Linked DNA regions of Struthio camelus. The protein of the gene in region 3 interacts with the protein of the main gene of each other region in a biochemical or structural test. Links are inferred from orthologs where the notes say so. Each region holds a gene or a part of one and is shown on either strand. Other genes may lie near its edges.

Evidence for each region.
Region 1: the proteins of SUMO1 (region 3) and PIAS3 form a complex in vitro, tested with the Homo sapiens proteins (2 studies listed by BioGRID and IntAct, with this or other methods). The link is inferred for Struthio camelus from reciprocal best matches to the Homo sapiens genes SUMO1 and PIAS3.
Region 2: the proteins of SUMO1 (region 3) and PIAS1 form a complex in vitro, tested with the Homo sapiens proteins (6 studies listed by BioGRID and IntAct, with this or other methods). The link is inferred for Struthio camelus from reciprocal best matches to the Homo sapiens genes SUMO1 and PIAS1.
Region 4: the proteins of SUMO1 (region 3) and USP25 form a complex in vitro, tested with the Homo sapiens proteins (2 studies listed by BioGRID). The link is inferred for Struthio camelus from reciprocal best matches to the Homo sapiens genes SUMO1 and USP25.

The regions. Positions count from the first base shown.
Region 1 is NC_090971.1:3,179,852-3,187,343, forward strand, and holds the start of PIAS3 (E3 SUMO-protein ligase PIAS3), read right to left. Parts: upstream 3,118-7,492; 5' UTR 3,056-3,117; coding exon 3,032-3,055; intron 1,486-3,031; exon of another isoform or gene 1,368-1,485; intron 1,139-1,367; exon of another isoform or gene 1,096-1,138; coding exon of another isoform or gene 1,081-1,095; intron 1-1,080. Other genes in the region: ANKRD35 (ankyrin repeat domain-containing protein 35), read right to left, coding at 4,078-4,140, 4,274-4,339, 4,450-4,539, 5,195-5,773, 5,810-7,059. UniProt on the Homo sapiens protein: Functions as an E3-type small ubiquitin-like modifier (SUMO) ligase, stabilizing the interaction between UBE2I and the substrate, and as a SUMO-tethering factor.
Region 2 is NC_090953.1:2,280,327-2,287,735, forward strand, and holds the start of PIAS1 (E3 SUMO-protein ligase PIAS1), read right to left. Parts: upstream 3,118-7,409; 5' UTR 3,103-3,117; coding exon 3,040-3,102; intron 2,934-3,039; coding exon 2,489-2,933; intron 1-2,488. UniProt on the Homo sapiens protein: Functions as an E3-type small ubiquitin-like modifier (SUMO) ligase, stabilizing the interaction between UBE2I and the substrate, and as a SUMO-tethering factor. Catalyzes sumoylation of various proteins, such as CEBPB, MRE11, MTA1, PTK2 and PML.
Region 3 is NC_090947.1:9,968,968-9,976,392, reverse strand, and holds the start of SUMO1 (small ubiquitin-related modifier 1), read right to left. Parts: upstream 3,175-7,425; 5' UTR 3,001-3,174; coding exon 2,989-3,000; intron 1-2,988. Other genes in the region: NOP58 (nucleolar protein 58), read left to right, coding at 5,769-5,843. UniProt on the Homo sapiens protein: Ubiquitin-like protein that can be covalently attached to proteins as a monomer or a lysine-linked polymer.
Region 4 is NC_090942.1:113,035,205-113,042,889, reverse strand, and holds the start of USP25 (ubiquitin carboxyl-terminal hydrolase 25), read right to left. Parts: upstream 3,118-7,685; 5' UTR 3,030-3,117; coding exon 2,985-3,029; intron 1-2,984. UniProt on the Homo sapiens protein: Deubiquitinating enzyme that hydrolyzes ubiquitin moieties conjugated to substrates and thus, functions in various biological processes including inflammation and immune response.

The sequences.
Region 1 (7,492 bases), on a different chromosome or scaffold from region 3:
TAAATAAAGGAAGGTGTCTAAGCCAACCACAGACTTTATAAGGAGAAACTGTTTCATTTTCAACTGGCTCGGTCTTGCTTTTACAATGAGATACAGATGGTAAAAATCTTAAACTCCTGGCTAGTAAACTAAAAAGGGCTTAGGGGAGATGGACAAGAGAATTCAGTTGCCGGAAGGGAGCACAGATTTAAAAATAAACTGAAGAGAGCCTTGAATAATGCCAGGCTCCAGAGAAAGGGCTGAAGTCTGGAAGACCACTAGAGGATCTCAGAGGTGGGCCAAACCTCAGAGAATGTAAACCTATGCGCTAAGCTTCATCTCTCCTTAAAACACAATTCCTCTGCAGTGATTTATCTGCAGAGGGAACAGAGTGGAAAATGCCAAGGACATTACACCCACTTTGCCCTCTGTATGTTGCACTCAGCTTTGCCATTTGCTAGCTATGGCCTGAAACTGCAGGATTACGCATGTGCTATTTTATAGTGCATATGATGAGTAGCCACACTGAGGGCAGCAGCACCGTTTACATGCATCCTGCTGAACGCAACAGCGGGTCAAAGCGGGACCAGGGCCTGCGCCCCTGCGTTCATTCACCTGAGCCTGGGGACGTGGGTCTTTTTGCCATTAACACCTTGCCTGGAATGCTGGGAAACGGCACAAATAAAAAGCATTTCTGGAGCTCAAGTTCTGCGCTGTTCCAATTCACCCAATTACAATTATCGGATCCAATTTCTCCACAAATACTGTTAACATTTTGACACTTGATAGGGCTCCCATTGTAGTCATGCTTAGGTCACACAGAGTTTTAGGGGAAGGAGAACAATCACACCATAAAGCAGTATCAAAATTTGGACGGGCCGCTGCTGGAAAGATTACAGACACATACTAGCTCCAGAGAATTATGTTCTTGCTGTGGCTGGCTGCCAAGAAGGTGCCAGTTCCCAAATGTCTTACTATTCCCAGCAGAGGGAAGGGGGCAGGACTCTTAGGCCACTTCAGCCAGCTAAGATCTATATTCCAGCCTGTGGGAAAAAATATTAAACGCCAACAAGGACACAAATCAGCTTTGGAATTAGTTACCAGGGGCAATTTCATATTCCACAGTCTGGTGGGCAAAGGTGGTTACACACTCTGACTCCTAAAAACGAGAAAAAGAGAGTGGAGGGAGATGAAACCCCATCCAGCTGTGAGCACTGGTGCAGCACTACCATGTTACACGCTCTCCGCTCCCTCCTCCCCTACGAAACCCCAGGAGCATCTCGCAGCTCCCCGGCCCGCTATACCATCGTCTTGCCCCAAGATCTGCCTCAAGCTTCATCCCCTCTCCAGCCTACCGGTTATTTTCTGCGCTCTCCGCACTCCCCTACCTCATTCGAGGGTCTGAACTGCTCCGTTTCTTGGCTCTCCCTTCCTTCAGGTTTCTACTTCTTTTCTCTGAACCTCCGTCGCACGCCTGAGCCCCCCAAAATCTTCCAGCCCCCTCCTCTTTGCAAACAGCACGGGAGGTCGCTGCCTGATTCAGCAGCCTCATCCGCCGCTCAGCGTGCCGACGTCCAAAACCCGACCCCCTTTCCTACGTGACCCTCTCGCCCGGGCGGTCTCTGCGCCTGCCTCCGCAGCCCCCCGCCGCCCTGGCCCCAGCCCCCTTGCCGCTCAGCCCCACGGTTTCCTCGTCCGTCCCCGTCTGTCCATCCGCCTCTTCCCCCGGCGTTGCCCGCTCTCCCTCTGCACCCCTTCGGACGCCCCCGCTCCACTGTAGACCCCCACGGCTGAGCCCTCTGCCCCCCCCCCCAGCCCCCAGCTCTTCATCCCCACCCCGCAGGACCTGCAGCCCTGCTGCCCCACAGTCCAGCATATCACCCTACTCCACCCCCCCAACCCTTCCCCCAGCCCCACGCATTGCCTGAGCCCTGAGCCTGGGGCGAGCCTCAGCATCCGGCCCCTCATTCTGCCAGCCCCGCTGCCCCCTGCTCCTACCCCATAGTCCCCCCTGCCCTGCCCCATGGTCCTGCCCCCTAGCCCTGGTCCACAGCTCCCTGGACCTGCCCCACAGCCCCTCTGGTTCCTGCCCCGCAGCCCTACCCCACAGCCCCCCCTGGTTCCTACACCTGGTTCCTGCCCCACAGCCCCCCTGCTTCTTCCACTCAGCCCTGCTCCGCTGCCCCCCTGCTCCTGCCCCACAGCCCCCTGTTCCTGGCCCCTGCTCCTGGCCCACAGCCCCCCGGGTCCTGCCCCACAGCACCCCTGGGTCCTGCCCCGCTGCCTACCCCACAGCCCCCCTGGTTCCTACGCCTGGTCCCTGCCCCACAGCCCCTCCCCGCTCCTACTACTCAGCCCCCGCCCCATAGCCCCCGGTTCCTGGCCCCTGCTCCTGCCCCACAGCCCTCCTAGTTCCTGCCCCAGCCTCCCGGGTCCTGGCCCCTGCTTCTGCCCCACAGTCCCCTGGGTTCTGCCCCATAGCCACCCCGGGTCCTGGCCCCTGCCCCTGTCTCACAATCCCCCGGTTCCTGGCCCCTACTCCTGCCCCACAGCCCCTGGGTCCTGGCCCCTGCTCCTGCCACTGCCCCGCAGTCCCCTGGGTCCTGCCCCATAGCCCCCCCGGGTCCCGGCCCCTGCCCCACAGTCCCCTGGGTCCTGGCCCCTGCTCCTGCCCCACAGGCCCCTAGTTCCTGCCCCACAGCCCCCCGGGTCCTAGTCCCTGCTCCTGCCTCACAGCCCCCCGAGTCCTGCCCCATAGCCCCCCCAGGGCCTGGCCCCTGCCCCTGCCCCAAAGTCCCCTGGGTCCTGCCCCACAGCCCCCGGGTCCTGGCCCCTGCTCCTGCCCCACAGCCCCCCGGGTCCTGGCTCCTGCTCCTGCCCCACAGCCTCTCGGCTCCTGCCCCCCGGCTCCAGCCTTCCAGCCCCCTGGCCCCACACGGCCACCGCTGTCCCTCTCGCACCCCCAGAATGCCTCACCCCCAAGCCTCCCCGCCCGGCACCCCCACCCCACCCCACACCGCCGCAGCCCGGCCCCGCGGCCCCCCCGCGGCACCTTCAGCTCTGCCGCCTCCGCCATCTTGGGACATGGCAGCCGCGCGCCAGGGGCCGAGGCAAACTCCGCGCCCGGCCGCAGCCGCACGGCGCGCGGGGGAGGGGGGGCGGGCAGGGAGCGTCGCGCAACTCCGCCCCGCCGCCGAGTGGTCCTGCCCGGGGCGACCGGCACCGCTAACTAGTCATGTCCGGGGGCGACCGGCACCGCTAACTAGTCCTGGCCTGGGGACTGACTGGCACCGCTAACTAGACCTCCCCAGGGGTGACTGGCACCGCTAACTAGTCCTGCCCGGGGCGACCGGCACCGCTAACTAGTCCTGCCCGGGGGTGACCGGCACCGCTAACTAGTTCTGGCCTGGGGACTGACCGGCACCGCTAACTAGACCTCCCCAGGGGTGACTGGCACCGCTAACTAGTCCTGGCTTGGGGTGACTGGCACCGCTAACTAGTCCTGCCCAGGGGTGACTGGCACCGCTAACTAGTCCTGGCCTGGGGATTGACCGGCACCACTAACTAGACCTCCCCAGGGGTGACTGGCACCGCTAACTAGTCCTGGCCTGGGGACTGACCGGCACCGCTAACTAGTCCTGGCCTGGGGATTGACCGGCACCGCTAACTAGACCTCCCCAGGGGTGACTGGCACTGCTAACTAGTCCTGGCCTGGGATGACTGGCACCGCTAACTAGTCCTGCCCGGGGGTGACCGGCACTGCTAACTAGTCCTGGCCTGGGGACTGACTAGCACCACTAACTAGTTCTGTCCTGGGGCTGGGGCCTCACCAGTCCCACTGGTTAGTCCTGCCCAGGGCCTGACCAGTACCACTAACTAGTCCTGGGGCCAGGGGGCCACCCAGCCCCGCCACCCCCAGGGTGCCCTATGCCCCCGGCGCTAGGTGGTGGGTGCAGCCGCCCTGGTCCCCCCGGCCCCCCCATCCCCGTCCCCATCCCCGTCCCCATCCCCATCCCGTTCCGGAGGAAGGCAGCACACGCAGAGCAGCTTTTCCCGTTTAATGGCTTCGGGGCACGTGCGGGATCCGTCCCGGCGGCGTCAGGCGTCCCCCGTCCGCAGGATCCGCAGCAGCATGCCGTGCACCACCTCGTCCATGAACCCCTGCCGGAGCAAAGCTCAGCCGGGACCCGCTGCACCCAGACTCCGTCCCAGCCTCCAGCGCTGGCTAAAAATTGCATTTTGCAGCATTTCAGCCCAAAACACCCTCCAGGGCAGAGATGCCTCCGACTCCTACCTGGGCGGCGTTGAGCAAGTGGGTTCTGTAGATGGTGACGATGTCCTGGTGGTTTTTCTGCTGGAGCTGGTGGGAAAAAAGGAGGTTGGAAGCAGAGCCGGGGCAATGCCGGTGGGCGATGCCGGTGGGCGATGCCAGGCAATGCTGGCGGGCGATGCCGGGTGCCGGGGACCCACCTCCAGCCGGAGCTGCAGCCGGACGCTCTCGCTGCGGACTGCCAGCACCTCCGCTGAGAGCTTCTCCATCTCCGCCAGCAGCTGCTTGATCTGGCGTCAGGCAGCAGGGAGCAGAGTTGGGAGCCGACGGGGAAAAACGGGGGGCTGGCTCCTGCCCCGCTGCTACCCCCGGGAGTTGTCTCAACCCTCCTGCCTGCCCCCCCCCCCCCAAAGTTGGCTGAGAAATGGGCGCTTTGAGATCTTTTTGCACAACGGGAAATTCTCGCTCCTGCTGGGTGTTAGGCATTTCCATGGATCAGGTTGGCTTTATCAGGAGGAGATAGCGATGGGAAGGGGATGATGGTGGGAAAAGGATGGTGTTGGGAAGGAGGAGGGGATGGTGATGGGAAGGGGATGTTGGCGGGCAGGTGATGGCAATGGGAAGGGGACGGTGATGGGAAGGAGATGGTGTTGGGAAGGGGATAATGATGGGAACGGGAAGGTGATGACTATGGGAAGGGGATGATGATGGGAAGGGGATATTGATGGGCAGGGAAAGAGATTATGATGGGAAAGGGATGGCAATGGGAAAGGGATGGCAATGGGAAGGAGAGAATGAGAAGGGGACGGTGATGGGCAAGTGATGGTGATGGGAACGGCGATGGGAAGGACATAACGATGGCAAGGACATACCGATGGCAAGGGGATGGTGATGGGAAGGGGCTGCCTCCTCCTGTTAGCCTTGTGTGTGGGCCCTGACTCTTACCTTCCCCTCCTTGTCCTGGCAGGCCCTGGCGAGCTCACCCACTTTGGCGCTGAGCTTCTCCACGCTCCTCTCTAGCCCCCGCGATGTCACCTGCAGCTCCCGTGCCTCCTGCTCCCGCTCGGCTGCCCGCACCTCCAGCTCCTCCTTCGCCCTCCTCTCGGCAGCCGCAGCCTCGGCCCAGCGCGCGGCCTCAGCGCTGGCTGCCTCCAGCTCCCGCCGCAGCGCCCGGCTGCCCTCTGGGATGTCTGGGGTCATCTCCTCGCGGGAGCGCAGCGCGGCCCCTGCGGCTGGCCCGTCTCCGCCGTCCTCGTCCCAGCGACCGCGGGGGTCTCTTTCACCCGGCGGCCGCGGGGCATCCCCGAGTGCCTCGCCTTCGCCTTCCATCTGCGACACGAGTTGCAAGGCCTCGTGCTGCGTCCTCACCAGCCCGTCCAGCTTGCAGTGCAGCTCCTGGAGGATGCAGGCGCCAGGGAGCTGGTTGCCGGCCTCTTCCTGGGCCTGGGCGCCCAGGCTGTCTCGCAGCACCGCCAGCTCCCGCCGCTGTGCCGCCAGCCGCCGTCTCAGCCGTGTCGTCTCCTCCTGCTCGGCCTCCAGCGCCCGGGCCAGGGCGGCTGCCCGCTGCCCAGGCCCCTCGGTGGCCGCCGCCGCACTGGCGTCCCGCTCTCGCAGCCCACGCAGCTCTTCCTGCAGCCGCTCACGCTCCCGGCCCAGCTGGGCCAGCTCGCCCAGGAGCCTTCCGTTGCTCTCCTTGAGCTCCAGCACCTCCTTCTCCAACTTGGAGCTCCTGGCCCGCGGCCGCTCTTCGGCCTCTCTCTCCAGCGTGCGTGCTTGGCTCTGGCTTTTTTCTGCCTGGCTTGGATTCACTTCCTCTGGCTTGGCCCTGCCGTTCTCTGGCGAGCGGGAAGGCGCTGCCCCGTCGAGCGGCTCCTCCAGCTCCCGCTGACTCTGCAGGGCCCGGAGGGTCTCCAGGAGGGGCCGGGATCTCCGCAGCAGCTCGGCATGACTCTCGTCGGCGTGGCTCAGCGCCTGCTCCAGCCCCAGTGCCAGCTTCTCCCAGGCCGCCAGGCTTTTCCGGACGGCGTCGGCCGACACCACCTCATAATGCAGTTTGCTCCTCAAAGCTTCCTCCACCTCCTTCCTCAGTCCCTTGCTCCTGGTGAAGACGGTGAGCTTCTCCGCCCGCAGTTTGGTGCAGGTTTCCTCCAGCCAGGAGAGGAACAGTGCCAGAGGTGCCCACAGCCGCTGCTCGTCCCCGTCAAGCTGGGCCTGCTCGGCGGCGGCGATCGTGGCTGGTGGGTTTTCTGAGTGGTCCTCGAGCTCCCGTAGCCTCCTGCACGCATCCTCCCGCTCTGGCTCACCTTGCTGCCGCTCCTCCTCTTCCTCCGGTGCCGCCAAGCCTCCTGCCGCCTCCTCCTTCCTCCTCCTCAGCTCCCGCAGGTGCTCGGCCAGGAGGGTCAGGCAATAGTCATCCTCCGGCTCTGTCCCGGCTTCACTCTTTGTCCCCAGCAGCAGCTGCTCCAGCTCTCGCACCCGCTGCCAGAGGCTGCGCGCTGTTGTCCGACGGGCGGCCGAGAGCCACTCGCACTCCCGCACCTTTGTCACCAGCTGCTGCTCCAGCTGCAGGACCTTGGCCCGCTCGGCTTCGCAGCGGCACCGCCACTCCTCCGCGTCACAGCCTTCCTCCTCCTCCTCCTCCTCCTCGCTGTCGTCTGTGCTGTTGCAAGCTGGGGCCGCCTGGGACACGTGGGAGCAAGCCACGGCGTGCGTTGAACAGGAGTCGGAGGCCACGGGTGCATCGCGCAGGGAAGTGGCTGCTGGCTTTACCTGCATCTCGGCATCCCCAGGACAACCAGCTCCTTTCCCTGCTGGCGGGAGAAGAAACGACCCGCGAAGGCTCAATGCACCACATTTCCAAGCCATGGGCAGCCAAGGGCAGAGCTGTGGTGCCCCTGGCAATACTTTTCCCATCGGGAACTCAGAGTGCAGTGCAGCGGGGATGGGGCGAGCCACCTGCAGGGCCACCCAGGCTGTCGGCATGGTCTTGGCTCTGCTGCAGTGCCCGCTCCACAGAGCAGTGGCCGTGCGAACTGGGCTCCCCGCAAAGCAGTGCCAGCCAAGTCCCGCAAAGCAAAGCCAAAAGCAGCTGGCGGTGGCCGTGCAATGAGCTAAGCCAGCAGGCATCCGTGGAAAAGCTCCCTTTTTGCCTTTTCTAATAAAATAAGCAACCAATATCCTGGCTGAGCAATGACCAGGGAGTGGAAAAGGGGCCTTAGCGGGATGGGTTAGGGTGCAAAGCCA
Region 2 (7,409 bases), on a different chromosome or scaffold from region 3:
TAATCACCTCTTGAAGGGGCAGAAGACTCCTGCAGGCAAGCCTCCAAACACCACCACCACCTTGACTAGGGAAAGATCAGGGGAGAATCACATCCAGAGATGTGCTTTTTCTAACTTCTCTGTAATGACCATCATATCAGAAGAATCCAATGATCCTGAAATCAATGGCACTTGCTCTTGTTCTCTCTCTCTCACACGCACCCATGTGCATTTTATCCATTCCAGGGACTATTAGCAGGTTCCACTTTAAGCAGGGAGATAATCATTCAAAATCCCAGCTCAGGTCATCAATTTGTTCTTGTAGTGGAGGGAAGGAGAGTGAAACCAGTTTTGCATCCCCCTGTGAGGAATCCGGGGAGAAAAAGCAAGCAGGAGACCCTGAAGTGCTGGCCAGATGCCAAGGAGAAGTTCAGAAGGTTTGTACTATGCATCAACCATTTGAAAACAAAGGCAGAGGACTCAGAAGTTTGACATTTAAATGCCAAGCCCACATTGTTTGCAGCAGTGAGGAGGATATCCCAACCATTTGAGGCAAATGTTCAGCAAAACCTTCAATGTTGTTTTTAGTTAAAACATCAGTAACTGTATATATGGAGAAATTTAAACAAAGCTTTTTTTGCATTCTGTAATTAGAGATACAAGTCCACATTATTTACGTTTAAAACTGCTGACCTGTATGCAAAATTGCTTTAAGTTGTTTTGAAAGTGTATAAAACTGTATATCACTGGGTTTTAATCCAATGGGGTTTTTTGATTAGCATATACATTAATTACTTAAAAATATCCTCATGACATTTGTAGTTAGCAATTTTATAATCTGCAACAACATTACTTAACCACTACCAAAAGCAACCAACACAACTGTTTCTCACATAGACACTGAAGCTCTCTCTTCCCCAACAAGCTTAGGAAAAATAACTTTTCAGTAGTACTGCCTCAGATAAGCAAGGCAAAAAGGCAGCACAGGATGCAGATGCAAACCAAAACACAAAACATACCCATAAGTTATTAATTTAAAGGACAGACAGTGCTTGAAAGGTACTTGGCTGGAATTTCAGCTTCTTCCATTTTCCTACCCTGACATTCTGAGAGCCCACAAAGGGGAAAAATACCATATTGTATATAAACTCCTTAAGCAATAAGGCATGACAGAGTGTGAATTATGATCTCTTAATTTACGACTGGTTTGTCAGGCATGAAGCTGACAGTAAAGTGTTCTTACCATTTCTAGGAATAAATGCATACTGTAACTCCTTCATTGGAATGTCTTATTGAAATTATACCATTATTTTTTGGAGTATTTATAATATAAAAGTGATTAGACACATTCTGACTACCCAGTTATCCTGCACCGCCAGCACCGCCTGGAATGCTTATTAATTAATTAGATTTTAGACTAAAGCTAAATATATATAGTATACCTCTTAAAAGAGTATCTGAACCATAAGCGACACTTCATTTTATTCCAGAGATTATCAACTGCTCTCTCTCTCAACGTCTCAACTTTAACAGGTTAAAACAAAAAATATGCAAACAACTGTGCAGGTGATCACACTTCAGAAGTTTACAGACCGCTACTCACACGCCTCTCCTTCATCCCTGTAGCAGACTAGTCTATTAATAGAAATTACCTGCTCGTTGCTGTTTAGGAGTGTTCTCTTTCACAAAGCACAGTCTCCTCACTCACTCACCCACCATCCCTCCATATCTGCCCTTACAAATACCCTCCTCCCCCTACTAGCTATTCTCAAAGTGATTCTTTTCCAGGGTTTCAAAACAGCAGAACGTTCCAACATGCAAGCAGTCCCTCCAGAAATCTACCACACTATTGTATTTAAGAGTATTAAAAGTTAACCACACTCTTAAGTGTTATGCGGAGTCAGAGCCAGAAAAATCACACATTGTTATATAACGCTCAGTAAGCGTCAGAATATTCTCAGCAGCTACACAAGTGTTTTATAGGTTAATACAAGAGTTTAAAAGGAAAAAAAAACCAAAACAGTCAAAACAGTAGAAGAACCACAAGTGTTCCTAAACTCAGATGTTAGAACCATAAGGGATCACAGCAAATACCTAGTCTGACATTCTTTCACAGCACAGACAACTAGATTTCTTGGGTTTGATGGACTTAGGGTTTGGGGTTTTTTTTTAATTACATTCTTTAGTTTAACTGCCTGCTTTCAGTAGTTCATATTTTCTTTAAGTTCTCTTTTTTCCAAGGTTTAGTTTGTTTCTTGTCAAACTCACCCCTTAAACATAATGGAACTTTGAACCATACTTAGTAGCTCAGCTAGAGCAACTAATGAGCGTTACGTAAGATGTCTCTCCATGTGTTGTAGAACAATCTGTTCCAAAAGTTACCAAAAATAGCAATTCTCTAAACAGTGGCGTGATGCAATATTTAACCAGATAGTACACTAGCAGCTGAATTCATCCATTACTCCTAAAAAGTTTTCAAATATTGTTATTACAACGTTTGCAGCCTTACCTAGACTTGTAGGTTTTATCAGCTCATCCAACAAGTCATAAAAAGGTAATTTCTGAAGTTTGATGTCGGGATGGACAGGGTGGAGCGCAGATGTAAGATGGGGGAGTTCCAGTTCATGTTTAGGTCCCAGAAGTGAAACGGGAAGCAATGGTGATGTTGCGGGGTGGCCATCATAGCTGAGCTGTGGAATGGTAGACGGAGACAAAGTTGCTGGCATGGAACTTGAGTGTACACTGGGGATAGATAAGTCTGCAGGCGTCATGATTTTCTGAGGGAACCTTCGCCTATAGAGTTCTTTGATTTTCATTTGTACAGCGGGACTGCAGCCAGCCTTTAATAAATGCAGTGCTTTTGTGAGAAGTTCGTGTTTTCGTCCGTGCTTGTTCCTCCCCGCGTAACCCAGAAGTACTTGCAGTTCAGAAACTCTAAGGCTCATAACCATTTGCTTAAAAGAAACAAAACAAAAAATTAGTATTCAAGTTACATCATCTTACACACTAACATCAGAATGTGGCTTAATCCTGGTGAGCATACAATTTTTAAAGGCATACCATTACTGCTCTTCTCCCACTGATGATCTGAAATACAACATAAAACAGGACTTGTTCACACATAGATATATTGACTTTGAAAGTCTAATCAGCAATTTTTTAAAGGAATTTCTTTTGCAATAGGTAATTCAGGACAGCAATTCTGAGGTAAAAATTTGAGACAAGGACAAGTTGCCAGTACAAGACATAAGGCTTTTAATGTACCAATGTTCTAATCACTGCTCCCCTAACACCTACAACATTTAACAAGCTTTATGACTTCCAGCTAGAGGAATAAAAAGTTACACATTGACAATACCCAAGTCTCCAGTACTTGCACTTAAAAACTGCAGCAACCCTTCACTCTGACACCCTACTTCACTTTCAAGTCCCTCTCTCACTTTTTGCCAGGCAGTGTAACTAATCAGTCAGCACAGGTTCAAAGGAAGGCAGAGAAGTGACTGATGTTAAAGACACTTAGAAAAATTGTAATCTGATTTTTTGCAAGTCCATATGATCATTACTGGGTTAAAGGAAACTTCTTCAGATCCAATCTCCAATATAAATTAAGCAATTTCCTTACTCATCCCTCTTCTCTCACTTCACAGCTGCTTGTCCTGTTGCGGATGGGGGAGTTGGGCTTTGCCTTCCATTAGTTACCACGTGTTTCTACACGGTCTGTCTCCCAATATGGCCTAATGAATCACACTGTAAGACATCTAGGCTGTTTCACTTCTTGAGGAACTGAGGAAACAAAACTAGGCAAAGCAGTGAAACCAGCAATCATCCGCGTGCGCTAAAGTACTTCCCCACTGGTCAAATAGCGGCCAAAAATTCAACTTAGGAGCCTAGTGTCTCTTTTAAAGCTTCTTTCAGTGCTTGACAGGGACTTTTTTTTTAACATTGCAAGGCCTGTGACATCAGCTGAAGTGATCTTTCTGTACAGTTTTGGATTCCCAAGCAGTCAAAGAAAAATAAAACGCCCCCTACCCACTACCACAACTGGTTATCTAGGACTTCTGCACAAAACCATTTAAAAAACTCTGAATATTTTATAGTCAATTCCAAAACAAATTCAACATCATATTTGAAGCGTATATATAGGACCAACATAACCAATTAGGCATATCGAGGTTCTGCAACTTCCCAACCACTGAAAGCAGTCTAAAGATTACTCTTTTCTATTTGCTGAATATCCAAACCAGCACTTGCATTTGCAAAAATGATCTTTAAGATTAAAGAGTACAGATACTCTTATCCTCTCCAGTTCTCCAAACTGTTTGAAATATTCAGACACATACATTACCCAAGTTATTTTACCATTAACTCTAAAACCTAAAGTGATAATATTGGAAAGTATACTACCATGCTTTAGCAAAAACCACCATAAACTCCTATCAATTCCTCAAACCTTCAGCACCTGCAGGAGATCGACAAGGGGGTATTCGCAACAAGCATTTCCAGACACTGAAACAGATCGAGTTATTAAAAAAACCCTCAAACTATATGATTCATGTATTTAATGAAGTATGCAACCAGATCATTTTAACTAAATTTGCCACAAAATTTCTGCTCTGTTGACTGAACCACATGAATAGAACCGAAGAACCTTGTGGCAAATTTTAGATACATATTGTTGCAGAATACCACAAACACTTTAGATTTAACACAGTTTTGCTGGCACCTTTTCTCCAAGTATCCTGAGAACCTGCTTCACACTTTCAGCTCCAGGACTGTCATGGATCTACTAACTAGAACAGATGAGGTATTTCAGAAGGAAAGAAATGTCTTAAAAAAGTAAGGCATTTCAGTTACAATCTGAAGTGTTGACAGCTGAAAAGGAAAGTGAAACAAATAGATCTGAAACACGGAAAAGCACTGTTTCTAATGCTTTACAAACATTCAACAGAACACGTAGTTACCGCTGAAAGGCTTATGCCTGCTACCTTCCCTGTTAACAGTCATTTCCTCAGCAGCCCAAGTCTCCTGGAGCTTCCCTGCGCTCTCGCTTTGTTACAACCCTACAGGCCCAGCTTGCAGAAAATGCAAACGAGCAAGAAATAAATGAGCTAACTGGGAAACTTCTGCTACAGGTTGGATAGTTTCCATTTTGAAGTTACATGCAAGCTAGAAATAAGTATACAAAAAACTGGGTCCATTGTGTAGCCAGACTTGTGAACCAAAATAAATAAAATTCCTCAGATTTCTCCCCTACTCTGAAAAAATTCCTTAAAAGGAAGAACGAGAAAAATTGTATTTGCCACATTATGGGCACTGATACATCAATTAAAAATGCAGTCCTGAAAAAAGAGCAATAAAGTTTTGCTGTTTTATTACAGTCTCATATTTTACTGACAAACCTTTCTTACCCACATAAAAAGAAGGCAATGCCTTAACCCTCCCCGCCACACACACACACACACACACCCCTCTACAGAGTTTTGCCAGTACCGCATGTCAGTCAGTGCTGCGAGGAAGTAAGATCCTGACAGACAGCCATGCTGGCAAAAGTCTCTCATGTCGCTGCAATCCGAACGTCTCCCCTCCTCCAACATATCTGTGTTTTATTTGAGGACACGACGCAGCTATACCAGCAGCGGTGCAACTGCCAGCGCAGGCGCTGTCCACGCAAGAGCCCTTGGCCCACACTGCGCTGCTGTCCTAATCTTAGGACAGGCCGTTTAATTATAGCAGGGAAAGAAATTAAGCGCTGTCAAACACAAAGTAAATGGGGGAGGGGGGGAAGCAGCAACTATTAAATTCTTTTCTGTCACACCTCGCCTCATCACAATTCAAACGCTCTCTGACTTAGCTATACTAGCAAAGCTGAAAGGCAAAGATGCAAAAAAGCACTTTGCATGAGGAAAACTTCCTGCTTTTTTCCCTGTTGGCCGGAGCAGTAAGATCAGGGACATCAGCACGACTGCACCTTCAGCAAGCTACAGAAGCCACCATCAAAAGTTAGTCCCCAAACAACAGCAAAATAGCCCTAATGGTCTCCAGGAGGGAACCGCCCCGACCTCTGGCTGTTTATCAAAACAGGCAAAATAATTTTTTATTTCCTTTTGCATTAAAAAAAGAGCAAACATAAGGTTAGTTCAAATTATATACAGATCAAGGGCAGACTAAAGGATAGTTTGCAAGCTGCACTTACAGGTAACTAGGTGTTTAGTTACGCTTTCAAGTACCAGGAAACGTAGGCCCCTCCAAACATCACAGTAGTGTATAAGATACTGAAGTTACCTAGCCAAAAAAAGATTAAACCACTCATTACAAATAATTTTGGTGTGACAAACAAGCTGTGATTGCAAGGCTCTTTCAGATGCAACAAACGCCAGTATCAAACAAACTAGTTTGTTTTGAGGATGATGTGCATTTCGGTATGTCGTGCCATGTAGGTAACATCTTAAATATAAATCTCTCTCTCTCTCTCTCTCCCTTTCAAAGAGAGGGCAAAGACACTAGAAAGATTGTTCAAAGAGTAGAAATAAGCTTTATAGAAACTTGACTTTTCACAGTTCCCCAGAGGATTTCTCTTTTGACTCACTGTAAAGACCTTCATGGAGCTTAGACGGTAACTTTAATCTATAAACATAGAACTGACATTTCCTGCTGGACGACGCAACCCAAACACGTTTATCGACCAAAGTTACATTAGTCCTGAGGATTGCCTGTCTCATTATGTACGCTTCCCCTCCAACCCACAGCCCTCACCCAGGTCTCGTGACCACAGCTCACCTTCCCCAAAGCCCACAGAGGATGGTGCTGCCTGATGACAGGTGACTGGATTGTGCGCGGCAGCCAGGAGCGGCACCGAGGTGTTCCAAGAGGCCACGTTAACGTTCCACACTTCCCAAACCTGTGTCACTTCCCGCCCCACCAGATCGCATCAGCCCAACCCTTTGGTTCAGCTCGTGCTGCAGCCACGTGAGCAGGTGCATCCCCGCATTTTTTCATTGAGGGAACACACCTCCAAAACAACCCAGCTGGAAACACGGACACTTCCTTTGTCCGCCTACTTCAAATAATCAATAAGGGGAAAAAAGCTTAAAGATGTAAAAGCATTCCAGGAGCAGCATCCAAGGGAGCTCCCTTGGCTAACACATCACGCACCTACTTCTCTCCTGTAACTATCAGTATGAAAAGATGTTCTACCTACAGCTGTCTCTTTCAACAAAATTGCTTTTTCTTAAGTAAAATTGATGTTTATCTAAATATAAGATATAAAAATTGTGTAAGCCCCCAAAACAAAAAATAGTATCTAGCTACATTTGAGATAAGAAGGAACTAGAGCTTTGTCTAAGACTTCCACAACGGGACCACAAACCAAAAAGCGTCATGTGACGTCAGTGCACATGCCATAGGTCTTGGCACACCAAGGTCTCTCAATA
Region 3 (7,425 bases):
TTGTGGAAATAAATTTAAAAAAAAAATACAGTAACTTCCACTCCTGACTCAAAGAGGGAAAAAAAAAAGAAACTGCAATCTGTCCTGCAGACCTGTCTCATCTCTTTCATATGGACGGCTTGCACAAATAACATTTTTGGTCTGTATGTAGGATTACTAACCTCTAGGGATGCAGAAGAGATTCAGATCTCTACAAATCCAAACTCTAACTTTTATAACTGCCTCCTGTTTTGCTGTTGCCCAAGGAATTTATCAGAACATCCCATCTCTTCACATGAAATTTCAAGTCAGTATCTTATTCTGCTTTGCATAAGAATTAAACTGCATACCAGCGTATTGTCCCAGCAGTAAAGGGCTTCATAGCAGTTTATCCAGTTCTGTGCATTATAGCAGATCTACCTCTTATAGCTTTCCGTAACAAATCACTCTGTACAAGGTATGACAAATCATCATTGCTACTATAACAGCACCTCTAGCCAATATGAGTGGAAAGCAATGATTCATAATGTTTGATTCCTACCCTTGGGGACAGAGAACTCACGTACTAGACACCAATAGGGAAAGGAGCAAACAGTAGAAAGTAGAGGCTTAAAACATCAGCCTACCATAAAGGTGCATGTTTAAAGCCCCAACAACCCCTCGTCCATGAAAAAAAAAAACGCAAAGAGTAGAGCTGGAATTTCAGGAAAAAAAGAAATAGGATCAAATCAGCATTGAAAAAGCCAGTAATGGTAGTTAAAAAAAGCAGAAGATTTGAAAACAGAATACAACAAGACTCAGCAAGTCTAAAACAGCTCCCTGCATTTTGTCAGTGCTAACTATACTGCCATTCAATGCCAAATAGAAAAGCCAGCAGAAAAATACTTAAGAACAAAGGAAGCAAGTAGATTGCAAAGTTACTAAATTACGAGCATCCATTAACAAAATCCATGATCCACAAGCAAACATCCAGATTTTTAGTTGAACTGCTAAAGAAATGGTTACATCAAAAAAACCCAAACACCACAACACCCCAAGTTTAACTTTTCACTAGACTCCTAAATTTCTAAAGGCTTCATTCCACAGTTTTCCTAAATAGCACAAAATAAGGTCCCTAATACTGTCTCAATTATATTAACACCGCATTCATGACTGCAAAGCACTCAAAGTTCCCTGGATGAAATGCAACCCAGCGTGCCAGGTATTTGCTATTGCCACTAATGGAACCACAAAATAAACATTGTAAGGCAACTTATTGCAAATTCCCTCCAACAACAAACTGTATCTACTATTATTCTGAAGCATTCCAACTTCACTATCCAAGCCTAAAAAAGGCCCTGCTCAGCATACTTGAGACCATCTTTTGGCATCAAAATTGCAAGAGGAGGAAGATTACACTGTGCATCCCCAGCTCAGCAAACAAACTCTTACATTTGTGACAGGAATAGGAAAGTATGTACAATTGTGCCACAGCATTTCCTATCCACAGTACACAAAGAGATAAAAATGCTTTCATCTAGATGGAATGAGAATAAGAACAGCCTGAGACTTCGGGGGGGGGGGGGTTACTTCTCTTTTTCCCCTTCTGCTGCGATCCCACCAAGCAGCCACGTGGTTCTAAGAAGTTTACCCTTGTTGCTACAGTTTTTTTTTTTTAAATCGAGTAAGTTAGTTTGTAATTGAGAATAAAGAAACTAAACCAACTATGCATCTTTATCTACATAACAAGAAAAAAGAGCTAGAATTATAACTACTGACAGAGATCATCCTCTTAACATCTTGATTCCAGGACCAAGAAGGAGGCTATTGTAAACAACCTACAACTTCAGGCAACCTGATTATTCCAGTAGCATTGATAAAGAGAGAAATGAGATCTATGGTTAGGCGATATTCACTTTATGTTATACTGTTACTTGTACATCTGTTTAGGTCTTGTTACACAGTCCCTCTACCCCAGCAGTCAATGCCAAAACATATGATAATGTTTAGCACAGGCATTTCCAAAGGAAAAAAAAAAAAGAAAAATAGGGCCCTTATCCAATGCACCTTCTGGGATATGTGCCTCTAAGACACATATCCAATAAAGGCTTTCACATACAATGAATTTTACATACTTCAAGCAGTCCCAAAGAAGAATGAACATGCATACACCTTAGCAGGACTGGACTGGAGAAGGAATTACTTAATGAATGCTGTTATGTGTTAAAACGTGCCTCATCAGTTCACAAACATGAGCGACAGAACAGGCCACATAAAGAGCAGTCCACAGAATCTCGTTCATAATTTGATTTTTTTTTTTTCTTCCTTTTCTGCAGACACTCGCCTGCCTGTTACCGCACTGGAAACGCGTCCTGATGAGAGCTAGCGCTCGCCGCGCTCTCGCAGGCAGAGCCAGGCAGTAACACCACCAAGAGTTTCATTGTGCTCCAAAGTCGGGGGGGGGGGGGGGGGGGCACGGACCCAGCTCACACAGCAGTGACTTCTGTTCGCGGGTCACAAGGTGCCAAGGCTACTCCTCAACGGGGGCAACAGCATATCCTAAGATTTACCGTGGTTTCGGAATAATTTTTCAGTTCATGACTTGCATTAATACTACCCTTGGCTTCCCGGCACGGCAGGAAACATTCGCCGGCGCTGCCGTTGATTTCCCCCGAAGTCAAACCGCCGTGACAAAGCTGTCACTTGGGGGGGGGGGAGGGGGGCAACGCGTGAAATAAGGGCACGGCGGGGAACAAAACCACCCTGCCGTGCCGCGTTAACTCCCGGCCGGCCGACAGCTCACGCCGCCGAGCGCGGAGGGCTGCGCGCCGCAACGCCCGGCGAGCCATCCCGCCCCGGCAGAGCGACCTGCCTCACGGCCGGGACAGCGAAAACGAAAGGAAAGGGCCTCGGCGCCGCGCCGAGCCGCCCCGGGCCGGGCCGCTCCGCGCCCTCGGGGCTGGCGAGCAGAGCCCGGCCGAGGCGCAGGCCGGGCCGCCCGCCTCCCCCCCCCCCCAGCCCCGCCGGTACCTGGTCAGACATGGCTTCGCCCCCTCGCGTGCGGCAGGCTCGGCTGGGCCGCGGCAGGCGCTCCGCTCCCTTTCTCTCCGCCGCAGCACAAACACAGGCCGCGGCGCGGGCGGGATTTCCTGTGCGCCTGAGATCACTTCCCGCCCGGCCCGGCCCGCTGCCGCCGCCGCCGCGGCTCCTCCCCGCCCAGCCCCGGGCCGGGCCCTCGGCGCGCCCAGCCCCGGCCGCCGCCCGCCGCCGCCGCCCGCCAGAACCTTCTGGAAGCCGGGGCCGGACGGGCCGCGCGCCTCGCTCTGCGCCGCCGGCGAGGAGGGCCAGCGCCGGGGGGGGGTCGGGAAGCGCCCCGAAATTCTGCGAGTTTCCGTGGATTTCTGAAAAACTCAGTGAATTTCTAACCCACCCTACTTGTGTTCCCCCCCCAGCAGGGGATTCTCGTCCTGATTCCCCCCAGAGAAGGTTTTAACTCCAGTCAAGGAGAGGCAGAAGCGTTTCCAGGCGCGAAGGGCCCACCAGCGCCACCGGGGCTAACGAAGCCGACCCGTCGGGGAACGCACGCGGCCATCGCACCAGGCAGGCCTGCAGCGGCCAACCGAGCCGCACAGAATTAACGGGGGAGAAGGCGTTAAATAAAACGGGGCGACGCACTCCGCGGAGCCAGGTGACGAAGGGGAAGATGACCTCCTCCTCGTCACCAGGTCAAGAGCACTGCAGGAACCACCACCGAGAACCATTCGCAGCCTTGGAGCAACCCAAGAGGTGAACAGTGGAGATGACAAACACTTGATCCTATTGCAAACGCCACTGCTAGCAGTAAACAAAAGGACAGGTTTAAAAGCAGGGAGGTTAGCCCCACGGATAGAAGGTGACAGTTTTAAAGTTCTAGCATAAAATCTGAATGCAATTCCTAGTTGTACCCCTTTTCCTATGCATTCTATAATAAGAGTAACATGCAAATCACCAGTTATCCCTCTTCCCCATGCATAGCACACACAGTTGAAATTTAAATACCACTATTAAAACTTAATAACAATACCCCTCTTTATACACTTTTTATTCACTTCGGTTACAGATATGTATGTGCTCAGGGTACAAGCTATATTTGCACAGCACCTCCCTAGCAGCTAGTCTCAATTCAACCTATAAGGGTTACAAAAGTCACACGTTTCTTCTGTTACAGCCCAAACCCAACATGCAGCACCCTTAAAGCCCAACAAAAACATGCTTTTAAAAGACTAAATATACATACATGAGCTTCTTCCTACAGAACTCAAAGTAGCCCTTGCTGCTACAGCTGATGTTGAGACTACTTTACATCCACTAATAACTTTGTTTAATCCTCAGGTATTTTATAACTTCTCTAATTTCCCCATCTGCAACTAATCTCAATCACCTGAAGTTAATAAATTTCACCTCCGTTCATTCAGCTTGCTGCTAATTAACTTGACCAATGTTGTGTGGAAAGCAGAGGAGCTGTTAGTGTTTTTCTGGACAGCGTTAGCCTACCTAGCCTGCACAAAGCCTCTTCAGCCTGCAGATAGTTTTCCTACAAAACAGGGCTTTAACCTGAGAACAATCCATAATCTCGTAACACTAGTGTATTTGTTCGAGAGCAGCTAGTGCTAGCAGTAAGTATTAATATGCCTTATTAAAAGGAAGAAGGTAAATCATGTTTAATCTATAATTTGTTCTTTGGGACAGTAACCCCTGGACGCGCTGGAGGGCGCAGTGCGACGAGGCGGCAGGCGGCAGGGCCGGGCTGAGCTGCGGCTTCCCCGGAAACACCGGATCCTGGGCAGGCAGCACCGCGCGGGGAAATCGGGAGCCTCGAAACGCCTGTTGTAAATGCAGCGAGTTTGGCGTTCCGTTGTCAGAAGGGAGCAGCTGTCGGACGCCCGCAGCGGCACCGAGCTCTGAGCGCCTCCCCCCTTCTCCTCGGCCTAGGCGGAGGGCGGGCAAGCGCCGCACGCAGCCGCCGCGTCCACACCGGGGACTGGGCTGGTTTAACTCTGCTCGCAGAGGAAAGCGCGCGTTCACGAAGGCAGACCGCAGCCCTATGCCGACGTGCGCGCAGACGAGGCTGGGGAACGAGGCTCTGTTTACGGCGGAGCGGCAGCCTGGCCGGGAACGCGCCCAGACCTGTCTCCCACCCAGGGGACATATTTCTGCTGTTTCCGTGCGCCTTTTTTCCCCCGCCTCGGTCAGCGCAGGGAGCGGACACCGACGGTGTGCGGCTCCGTTCCGGCCGACGGCCCGCAGGACCCAGCAGCGCCGGCGCGGGGGGCGGCCCGCGGCCCCGCCCCTTCCCCTCCCGTGACATAACTTCCGCTGTGGCTACTTCCCGTTCCGGCGCGCGCGTGTGCTGGGCTGAGGGCTGCCGTCCGCTCGCCCACGTGGCCGCGCGCGCCCTCCCCACCCCCCCGTGAGCGGCCGTTGGCCCCCGCTCCGGCCGTTGGCGCCGCCGCCGCCATGTTGGTGCTGTTCGAGACCGCCGCTGGCTACGCCATCTTCAAGGTGAGGCGCGGGGGGGGGGGGCTGCGGGCCGCCGGGGGTCCGCGCCTCGCTCGGCCCGAGGCCTTGCCCGGGGGGCCTGACCCGCTCGCGGGGGCGGCCGAGCCCCCGAGCTGCGGCGCTTCGGTAGCGGTCCGCGGTGTGGCGTGGCGGGAAGTGCCCGCCCGGCTCAGGGCCCGGAAGGCTGCTCTTTTCGCAACACTTTCGTCTTAAAACGCCGCTCGGGGTTTGTGGCGCTGGGCTGATCACCGCCAAGGGGAAAAAAACGAGTTATGTGGACCGTGTTCGGGGAGGAGTGGGTTGCCGTCCTGTCTGCGGAGCGCTGTGTGGTGTGTTTCCGGCGGAGGGTAAGTTAACGGAAAGGAGTTGTGAGAGTTGCAACAGAAGTAAGATAGCTTTAGGTATTGTAATTAACTTGTGGCGGAAACGTCAACGGGGAAGGAGTGTGCTCAAGTCAAATGGTTTTTCAAAAAGTCACTTTACACGTCAGCCTTGTTTGGTTTCCTTGTGACATACACAGTAGGAGAAGGAGGGAGGTGAGACATGAAGCTGAAGAGTGAGTGCTGTAAAGAGGATCTCGGGTAAGAAGGAGAGGCACAGCGCGGGGAAAGATGGCTGCAGTTGTAGTAGTGTCCTGGAAATGCAAAGCCTAAAGGCACTTGAGAGGGAGAGCTTTCTCCATGGTCCCATCAGGGATTGCACATGGCTGTTTCTTTTTCTTCCACCAGTGAGAACAGATTTGGTGGGAGAGAAGGTACCTGTCTTTGTGCCCTCCTTGAAATCTCTGGAGACATCCTGTCCTGGGGAAAAGCATCTTAAGTGCTTTCCCTTATTTCTACTGAACTCATTTTGCTCACAGGCTAACAGCACCTCCTGGTTGTAAGGAGAGGTGCATGGGAGCCATGCAGCATGCTAAGCAAATCTGCAGGGTGCCTTGACCTGCGTGTGTTTCTGTCAGCTCTTTGGCAGACTCAGCACATGGGCCAGATGAGCTGGCATCAGCTGCCCACAGGTGTAGCACATGCTCTGCCTTTCTTGCTGTGTTGAGAACATGGGGCTAGGAGGAACAGACCACAAGTCTCTGGCAAGCTCCTGATGTGTTGGTTCAGAGGTTGCAGCTCCATGATGGTTTAAATGAGTTGCTAGAGCTGCTTTGGTGCTGTGTGCCCCATCATCTGTCTTTTCTCTTGCTTTGGATGTTGATGCTTGTACAGTCTCATGATGAGATTGTTCATGGAGTTTGATGACAGCACTTGCTTTATTTCAACCTAGCTTAGTCTTTTTTGGGTTTGGCTTGTGCAAACACCAGTGCAGATACAAGGAGAGCAAGGCACTAGTTTATTTTACCCTAACTTATAGAACTGCATCGTTGGGGCTCTACAGAGCCCTATGGTTCCTTGGTCTACCCTGAAACCTTTCCTCCTCTTTGAGGTGTAGCTGCGCAGTTCAGGCAAAGAGGGTTTTTAAGACTAATCCTCATGTAAAAATGTATCTAAAAGCATATTACTTCCATTTTCATTCCTGCTTGCAACTGGGGAACTAAAGTATATCACTGTCTCCCTGGAGGTTTAGATCAGTGGCTGTTCACACTAGCTAATATACTGCACCTTCTGAGTTTCTTTTAAAAAAAAAAAAGAGGGAGAGAGAGAAGGCAGTATTTCCAGGTAGGGTTGAACCTCTTGTGCTGGGAGCCAAGCCCTCTTTTAATCTTCTACAGAAACCAGGAAGGGCTGAAAATAGCACGTTTGAATCCCTGAAACCAGGATAGATATAAAGCAAAAGTAGGAGGAGGAGCATAAAGAGAAATGAAGAAGTTTCTTTGCAGGAGTGCTGCAACACTCAGTTGCAGGTGTCAACAGCTGGGATTTGGGGTCTGGCTGTGATGTGTATGCGAAGCGGCTAGAGGGCACTAGGCACCAAGAAGCAGTG
Region 4 (7,685 bases), on a different chromosome or scaffold from region 3:
AGGATGATCACCCCAAGCAAGGACAGCTGCATGAGTTAGAACCAATACGCATATGCTGGAACACACATAACCTCTCTACTTCATTTTTCAGTCACTAGAAAATCGCTGTTTCCCTCCCTTGGTTGCACCCATGGTCTAAGAGATATTGACCTAGAGAACAGTACAAGGCTCTCCACAGTAAGAGTGACAGTCTTTGACTGTGTTCCTCTGTCAGAAAAAACGTACAGGCACATTTACCAACTTTAACAAACCCACAGCAGCAATTCAGTACTGTGTGGAATAGAGGGAATCAAGCAATACAAATTATTTGGCTTTTCCAAAGAAAAGAAGCCTGACAAAAATACTCTACCAGGCAGAAATACAGACAGGATGCACCAGAAGCTACCTATAAAAACTGAAAGCCAATTCACCTCTATTCAAACACTTCAATCTTAATACGAACATTACAGATAACCCATAGACACCTAGCAGCATTACAGAATCACACAAAAAGTGCTGAGAACAAAAAGATTAACATGATTAGTTATTCGCTTTATGAGACAAATTATAAGTTTTAACTTGGAGTCAAAACGACCAGTAACATGAAAGAAAGGCTGACTTTTGAACTGATCCCGATTCTTTAACGATGCAATAAACTAAAGATAGCTTCAGTGGGAAATGGGCTGTTTGTAGTGAGAGCAGGTATTAATAAAAGCCTGAATCTCCAAGCACTGTTGAAGCTTGACACATACTTCCTGTATGACAGTACGAAAACATCTGAGGAACAATGTTGGAAACCATAGTTGTGAATAAGGTATGCCGATGACTCACACGTCTCTTGGAAATCCAATATATTTCTGTTTGCATGTGGTTTCTTCACACTAACACAAAACAATCATGACAAACTGAGGTCTCCAGAACAAACTCTCCTTATTTACAGAGTGTGGGACTCTCTCCTTTTGAGGGAAGGAAAAGAAGTAGTGGCACAGTAATTTTTCCTTCTTTCAGTCAAGCCTCAGTCCATTGTAATCTCATCATTTTCCTATTTAGATTATTTTCATTTAAGAAATGTGTTAAAAGGTTCTCATCTAATTAGCTATTTATTACTCTCACTGAGCAATGAGAGACTCACTTCACAGTCAAATAATATCTTTCCAAAATATTCTCAGGATTGTTTTTCCCCTCCTAGCATGCACTTAAGTAGAAAGCAGTTTACAATGAGTTTCAGATAAAGCAATAATCAGATGATTCAATAGAAATCCCTGCCATGAAAAAAGCTTGTTATTTTTACACAGTTTCTGTAGATATTCACGCAACTAATCATCATCCAGGGAGATATTTCATTTTAAAATTCTGGCCAATTTAAACTTTCTATTCCAGCATGGATTACTAGCTGACGTACAAGAATCAATCCCTAACCACCCTTCAAGCTTATTCTTGATTTGAAATTAAAGTAATCCTGAACTACTAAGCTGCAAGCAGTAGTTTTACTGAAAACAGCAACATTTCTTTTTCAGCATTATTGTCAGAGCTGTCTGTTTGCATTTTCTGTCAAGTGTTTGTCAGGTATTATAGAGCAGAACATCCAATACAATAGTTAAGGGATATTTAAGTAAACCATCAATAACAGGTTTTGTAAAAGAACATACTGCTCAGGAAAGACGTCAGCTACACAGTAGCAGCAGATGAAGTTCTTAAACACAGAAGACGTGTAACACTGAACCGGGCAGCAAAAGGCTGCTACACTAGCCTGTTAGCACACCTCAGTTTAAATCAGCATTGACTAAGGAATAAAGAGACAAATGTAGTCCATTCAGCCTTTACCTTCCTACTGAAGCTGCCAAAACACGCGCTGACTGCGGAAGCAGCCCTGGGAGATGTATGCCTCGCCCTCCAAAAGGGCTTCTTTAACGTTAAGTTGTACCACTTCAACCAATTATACTTTAACCACTGCGTTGCCACTGTCCACTTTTATGAGCCATTACACTTCCAGACTCACTACACCAAAGTAAATAAACCTTTATCCTCTCACAAAAGCCTCATGTGCCATACAGGAAAATCGGGGAAGGAGGCCTTCACACCTCCAAGGGGTGCATTAACAAGCAACAGTTACCTTGAAAATAACACTAATAAAAAAACGTAATTTTTCTTTTTCTCCTATCAATTCACTTGAACCCCCAAAACCGCTACAGAAGGCATCCATTTTTGACAAAGAGGCATTTCCCAGCAACTCCTGGCCCCCGCTACCAGATTCCCAAACGCCACCGCTCCCTTAACCCCGTTTCACAGCGCATATTAAGACGAGTCCCTAAACCCACCTCCCCCTTTGCCCACCCACCCCCCCTCACTTCCCCAAGACCGCGGCGCAGCTCGCTGCGTGTCATACGCCCAAAATAGCTGTCACCTTTTAGCACCGGCTGGTATCAGCGCGGCACAGCTACGTCCAGCACACGCAGCATCTCTCTCGCCCCGTGCCCGGTTACACCCGGGGCTCGGGTACGAGCTGGCGGCCGCCCCCCCCCCCCCCAACCTCCCCGCCGCCCTTCCTCCTCTTCCCCCTCCGGTTTCGCTGCTTCGCCGAGGAGCCCCCGAGCCCCGCGGGGTCACTCACGCTGCCGCCCCCGAGGAGGCCCCGGCCGCGGGGGGCAGCTGGGCCGAGGCCCCGCACACCGGCGGGCGGGGCGGCCCAAAGTTACGGCGGCAGGAGCCGGGCCGAGCCGCGCTGCGACCCTTCCCCCCACCCCCTCCTCCCCCGGCCGCCGGTACCGCGGCGCGGGGAGGGCAGAGGCCGCGGCACGGCCGGGCCCGTCCCCGCCGCAGGGGCCTGGCCGCGGGCAGGCCACGCAGCTGCAGCCCGGCGCGGGCCGGGCCCGCTCTGCCCTCACAGCGCCGTAAGGTCAGCGGCAGGGACGCGGTGCGGATGGCGCCGGCCGGGCCCCGGCGCAGGCGGGCGGCGCCCCGCGGCGCAGCGGGCCGGGCCGAGCCGGGCCGGGCTCGGCTCTCACCTTGGCGGCGCCGCCGGGCTGCAGCACGTTCTGCTCCACCGTCATGGCCCCGCGCGGCTCCCGGCTGCGACCCGGGCTCGGCGGGCGGGCGGCGGCGGCGGCGCCGTGCGGCAGCGGCTGGGCCGGGCCCGGGCTGGGCGAGCGGAACAGGAGGCGGAGGAGGAGGCGGAGGAGGAGGAGGAGCCCGAGTCACCGCCAGGCGGGCGGGCCGCCGAGGCGGGCGGCCGCCATGGGGCAGCGCCGAGGCGCTCAGGCCCCGCTCTCACGCCCAACCCGTCGCCGCCCCGCGCACCTGCCCCTGCCCCGCCGGCCTGGCTCCGTTCCCCCGCTGCTCCCCGCCTAACCGGCTGGCGGAGGTGGCCGCCGCCGCCGCCCGGCTTCCCCCGGGCAGAGCGCGGCAGCCCGGCCGCCCCCTTCCTCCCCCTGCGCGGCCGCCTCCATCTTGGCGCCGCGGGCCTGGCCCCGCGCTGCTAACAGAAACCGGGGGTTCAGAGGCTTCTCCTGCGGGGCGTTTGGGTGTCTAGGGCCGCCCGCAGGCGTCGCTGCCTGTTGTGGTGACGCTGTGGCGCTAACGCCCGGCAGGGTCAGCCGGAGCGCGGGCTGCGTTTGGAGAGAAAGTGAAGTTTTCCTGAGGTGGGGGGGGGGGGGGGGCGGCGGCAGCTCCCTGGCCCTCAGCAGCTGCTCGGGGCGGGGGGATCCCCCTTCTCCTCACAGCAGCGGTGACATGGCGGATCATTCACTCCGGCAGAGAAGCTGGGCCCCCGGGGCACCATCCCTCCCCACTTGCTGACCTCTCCCTCCGGGGAAAGGGGCCGTGGGGTGCCCGAGGCCCAGGGCGTCCCGGCTGGCCGGACCGGGTGGGCCAGTGTCTGCCAAGTGTCAAGTCCTCCACGTTTCTCCTTCAAGAAGCGGGCATGTTGTAGGGAGGCTGTGTTTTACCAGAAGTTTCTGACCCGTTCCAGCACTAGTTGCTTGTATCCACAACAAAGCTGAAACAGTGCTCGAAGCTGAAGTTGCGTTTCTTCCCCTTTCCCTCCCCGCTTATACGTTTAGCTCAGCGAGCTGTGAGCGATCATGCTCAGCGCTCACAGTAAGTGGGAATGTCATTAACTGCTTCACTGCTAACGAATCATGTATAGGGAGGATTTCAGTTCTCAGCAATCCACAGTGAATTCTGGCACTGCAAATAAGTGTTACTGGGAAAGCTACTATCGTTTTTTTATTCCAGTCCGTGGAGTCAGGACAAGGGAAGGAAAGAGCAGAGTTTGGAGGATCAAGGGAAGTCTGTCGTAGAAAGCCCAGAGGGTGTTCAGGTCGGCGTGAAGCCAAGCTGCCTTCCTCGTGTTGCAGGCCGCCGGGACGGGGTGTTTCTGGTGGCTGATAGATGGGGTTGGCTCTGACAACAGCTGTTCCACCCGCTGCCAGATTCTGCCTGCAGACTCGCGGGGTGCCCCTGCCCCTGCCGCTGCCGCTGCTGCTGCTGCACATGGCTCAGGCTTGCAGTTCTTCTTCCCAGGTCATGAGCTGGGCTAGGAAAAACCAACGACAACCAGCCCCCTCCAAACAAAAAAAAAGTTTCACTAAATTCTGCAGCACATGGTTATTTTGGTTATTGTGTGTCTAAAACACATTTAAATGGAGCCAGGCGCCAGGATGACAGAAGAACCCATCTCACATTTGGAATACCTGCACTACATATGGTATTTGTGTCCCGGTTTGGTTTCTTAAATTGATGAAGCTTACAGCAATCTGTAAGAAACGCTGACCAGAGCAGCGCAGTAACGATAACCCTGCGTACCTCAAAATCCTGATTTGGGAGCCTATCTCAACAAACTGAATTGTCGCTCCTACTCATTTGTCACACAGAGCCTGAGCCTTTAAGATTCACTAATTCTTTTTTTTCTCCCTCAAGACAGAGAGAGAACTAGTCTTTCTAAAGCTAAGATTGTCAGGTAATAACATCACTGCAAGATCTTGGACTAAGAAAAATATCAGATATCGCACAACTCCTGACAACGCGCAAATGCTGCCTTACTGCACTGTACCTTCTGTGCAGGAGATGTGGCATTTTGATCAATATTTGCTCCTCTGAGGTTCGTAGCTCATAGATTGTATCAATTTTAATGCTTTTGCCTTTTATACATGAAGTGGACTAAGCAATTTTTAAAATTAATGTTCCCAAATAATTTATTGTGCAAAAGACAAGACACTATGCAAATAATATAACGAGATCTGAAGTGGCTTGCAAATTACTTTTCTGAGTGCAAATTTTATCTGCACTCAGACTGGTGGCTACATGTGAGATTGGTAACGATAGTAGTTTGTTTATTTAAGACAAGTTTTCTGTTGTGTTGCTGTGCCAGAGTGCCAGACGAGCTTCTCCGCCCTTCACTTCCAATATATAGTCTTGCATCAGTCCATGACCTTAAGTATATTGGCATGTAACCTGCATTAATTTTTCTGATACAATTTTAACAGCTTCTTCTACACTGTATTTTTGATGTATGCTGCACTACTCGAGTAACGTTCAGATATGAACGTGAAAATACTTGAATACTTTGAAAATACTTGTTTCAATTTAGCATTTTTTCAAAAATTTACTGTTATGTCTTGCAACCGCGTGTTCAAGTCTTGGCCGTGTTTCATGTAACTCCGTGGAAAAATTTCCCTGACAGTCAGAATGGGTCCAAAAAGAACGTATTCAAAATCAGTTTTACTTTTTGCCCAATCCTAGCTGAAATCAGGATGAGAATGTCTTTTCTTCCCTCTCGCACCCCCCATCAAAACAATCACTTTTAAAGGCTCCTCCTTTTCCCACTTCCTTTTTTTTTGTTTTTGTTTTTTTCCAAAATGAGGCTGAGCAATCCACTCCTGAGGCAGGCATCTATCACTGAAGTACTGACATAATCTGAAACACGGCACTGCAAGTTATGATCCTGTAGTACATATGGTATTGCTGAAGAACAGACGGAATTGAGTTTCATGTTCCATTTGCAACACAAGTTCTATATTAAGTACATTTAGAACGAAACTAGAATTCATACTTCATCAGAAAACAATAAGGATTTTGTCAGGGCCACAATTTCCAAAGAGCTCTTGACTTGATGATAGTAGTATTCCTTCGTGTCTATAATATAATAAAGAATTACCATTACAGAAAAAAATGAAAAAGAAGATTACTTAGTTTCTAGGGATCCGATCCACTGTTCCTTTTCTACCCTCAACTCCCATGGCCTGGAACCCAGGTGACTTCTGTGTGCATCTAGCAGAGAATTAGGCATGGCAGGGCAAGGTCCAAAAGCTGTCATACCTGCAGCGTTAGAGCACAAAAGGAACCATGTAGGAGACTTTCTGTCTTAGTTTTGTAATTTCTTCTAATGTCCTACAGAACTGTGCCTTTAAAGTATTGGTTCTGAGACATGCCACCTTAACAGAGCCCACAGTCTTCAATTTCTGAACTCCTATTGCTAGTCTGCAGTGATCATTCAGCTGTCCTGCTTCCAGAGCTGCAAGCATTTTCTTGCTAGTCTTATTGATGATACCAGTGCACAGAAAGAGAAGTGATCATAAATGGAATTTTTTGGTTCACAGAAAAATGAATGCTGCACGATCCCATTTGCTTATGAGCCGCAAGAGCTGAAATAATATTTCTCTTATTTTTTGGTTCCTGTTGCTTATGTTATTCGTTACAAGTTACTTAAATAGTATAAGCCATAACTATATATATATTTCCCTGGAAAGTCATCCTATTTCCAGTTAGAGGCTCTTCGTTTTTTAACAACCTTACAGGGTTTCACCGTTAAACATTTGGCAGCTGTGCTGCTTAATTTCTCTAGGGAGTCTTCACCTCCAGGTGCTTGGTCCTGTCTGCAATGCTACCAGCGCTTGCGCGTTCACATGGTGAGCAGCACTGGAGAACTGATCCACCTGAAACATAACTACAACTTCCCCTCCCCCCAAACCAGTTATCTTTCTGCTAGATCAGTTCCCCAAAATGGTTCAGTGAAGAGATGTACGAACAGCTGTGCTGACCCAAAAGAGAAAGTGACACAGGCTGCGCAACAGCACACATCAAGCTTCGTTTCCCCTCTCTCTTAAATCAGTAAGTGATCCTGCCTTCCTGAGGACCGCCTGTTGGATAGAAAATGTGTTCCTGCTCACAGTCCGCCTTGTCTTCCCATTTTTATGAAAGGAAAACAAAACATCGGCCAACCACAAAGCACTTTAGCACGTGTTTTATTGTATACAAAGATCATGTACGAGAAATAGCTCATTATTTCCTTCAATTTTCAATAGGCTTGTTTTTGTCTTTAATTAAATGCATCGTTTATTTGGGACCTTAATTATACTATGGCTCTATGGGTTACAGCTGGGGAAGTACAAGTCAGGACTTCTTGGTTTTCTTTTCCCAAAAGTGTAACCTGTTATATCGGCCATAACAAAGCACTGCTTTAAAACCATCAGTACAAATATAATGCTGTAAATGCTATCAACACAGAGCTTCTGTAATTAACCCTGGAAAAGAGTTTCTCTAGACTCCCATTTCTAAAACCCATTTTGGAACATTTTTACCTAGGCCCTTTTGCTTTGCAGAAAACAGTTTAGCCATTTGAAACAAGACCACCACCACTCAGGAAGCTTCTAAAGCGAAAGACGTTTTAAATCATCATTTAAAAGTTATTCTCTGTGTCACTGTTACAT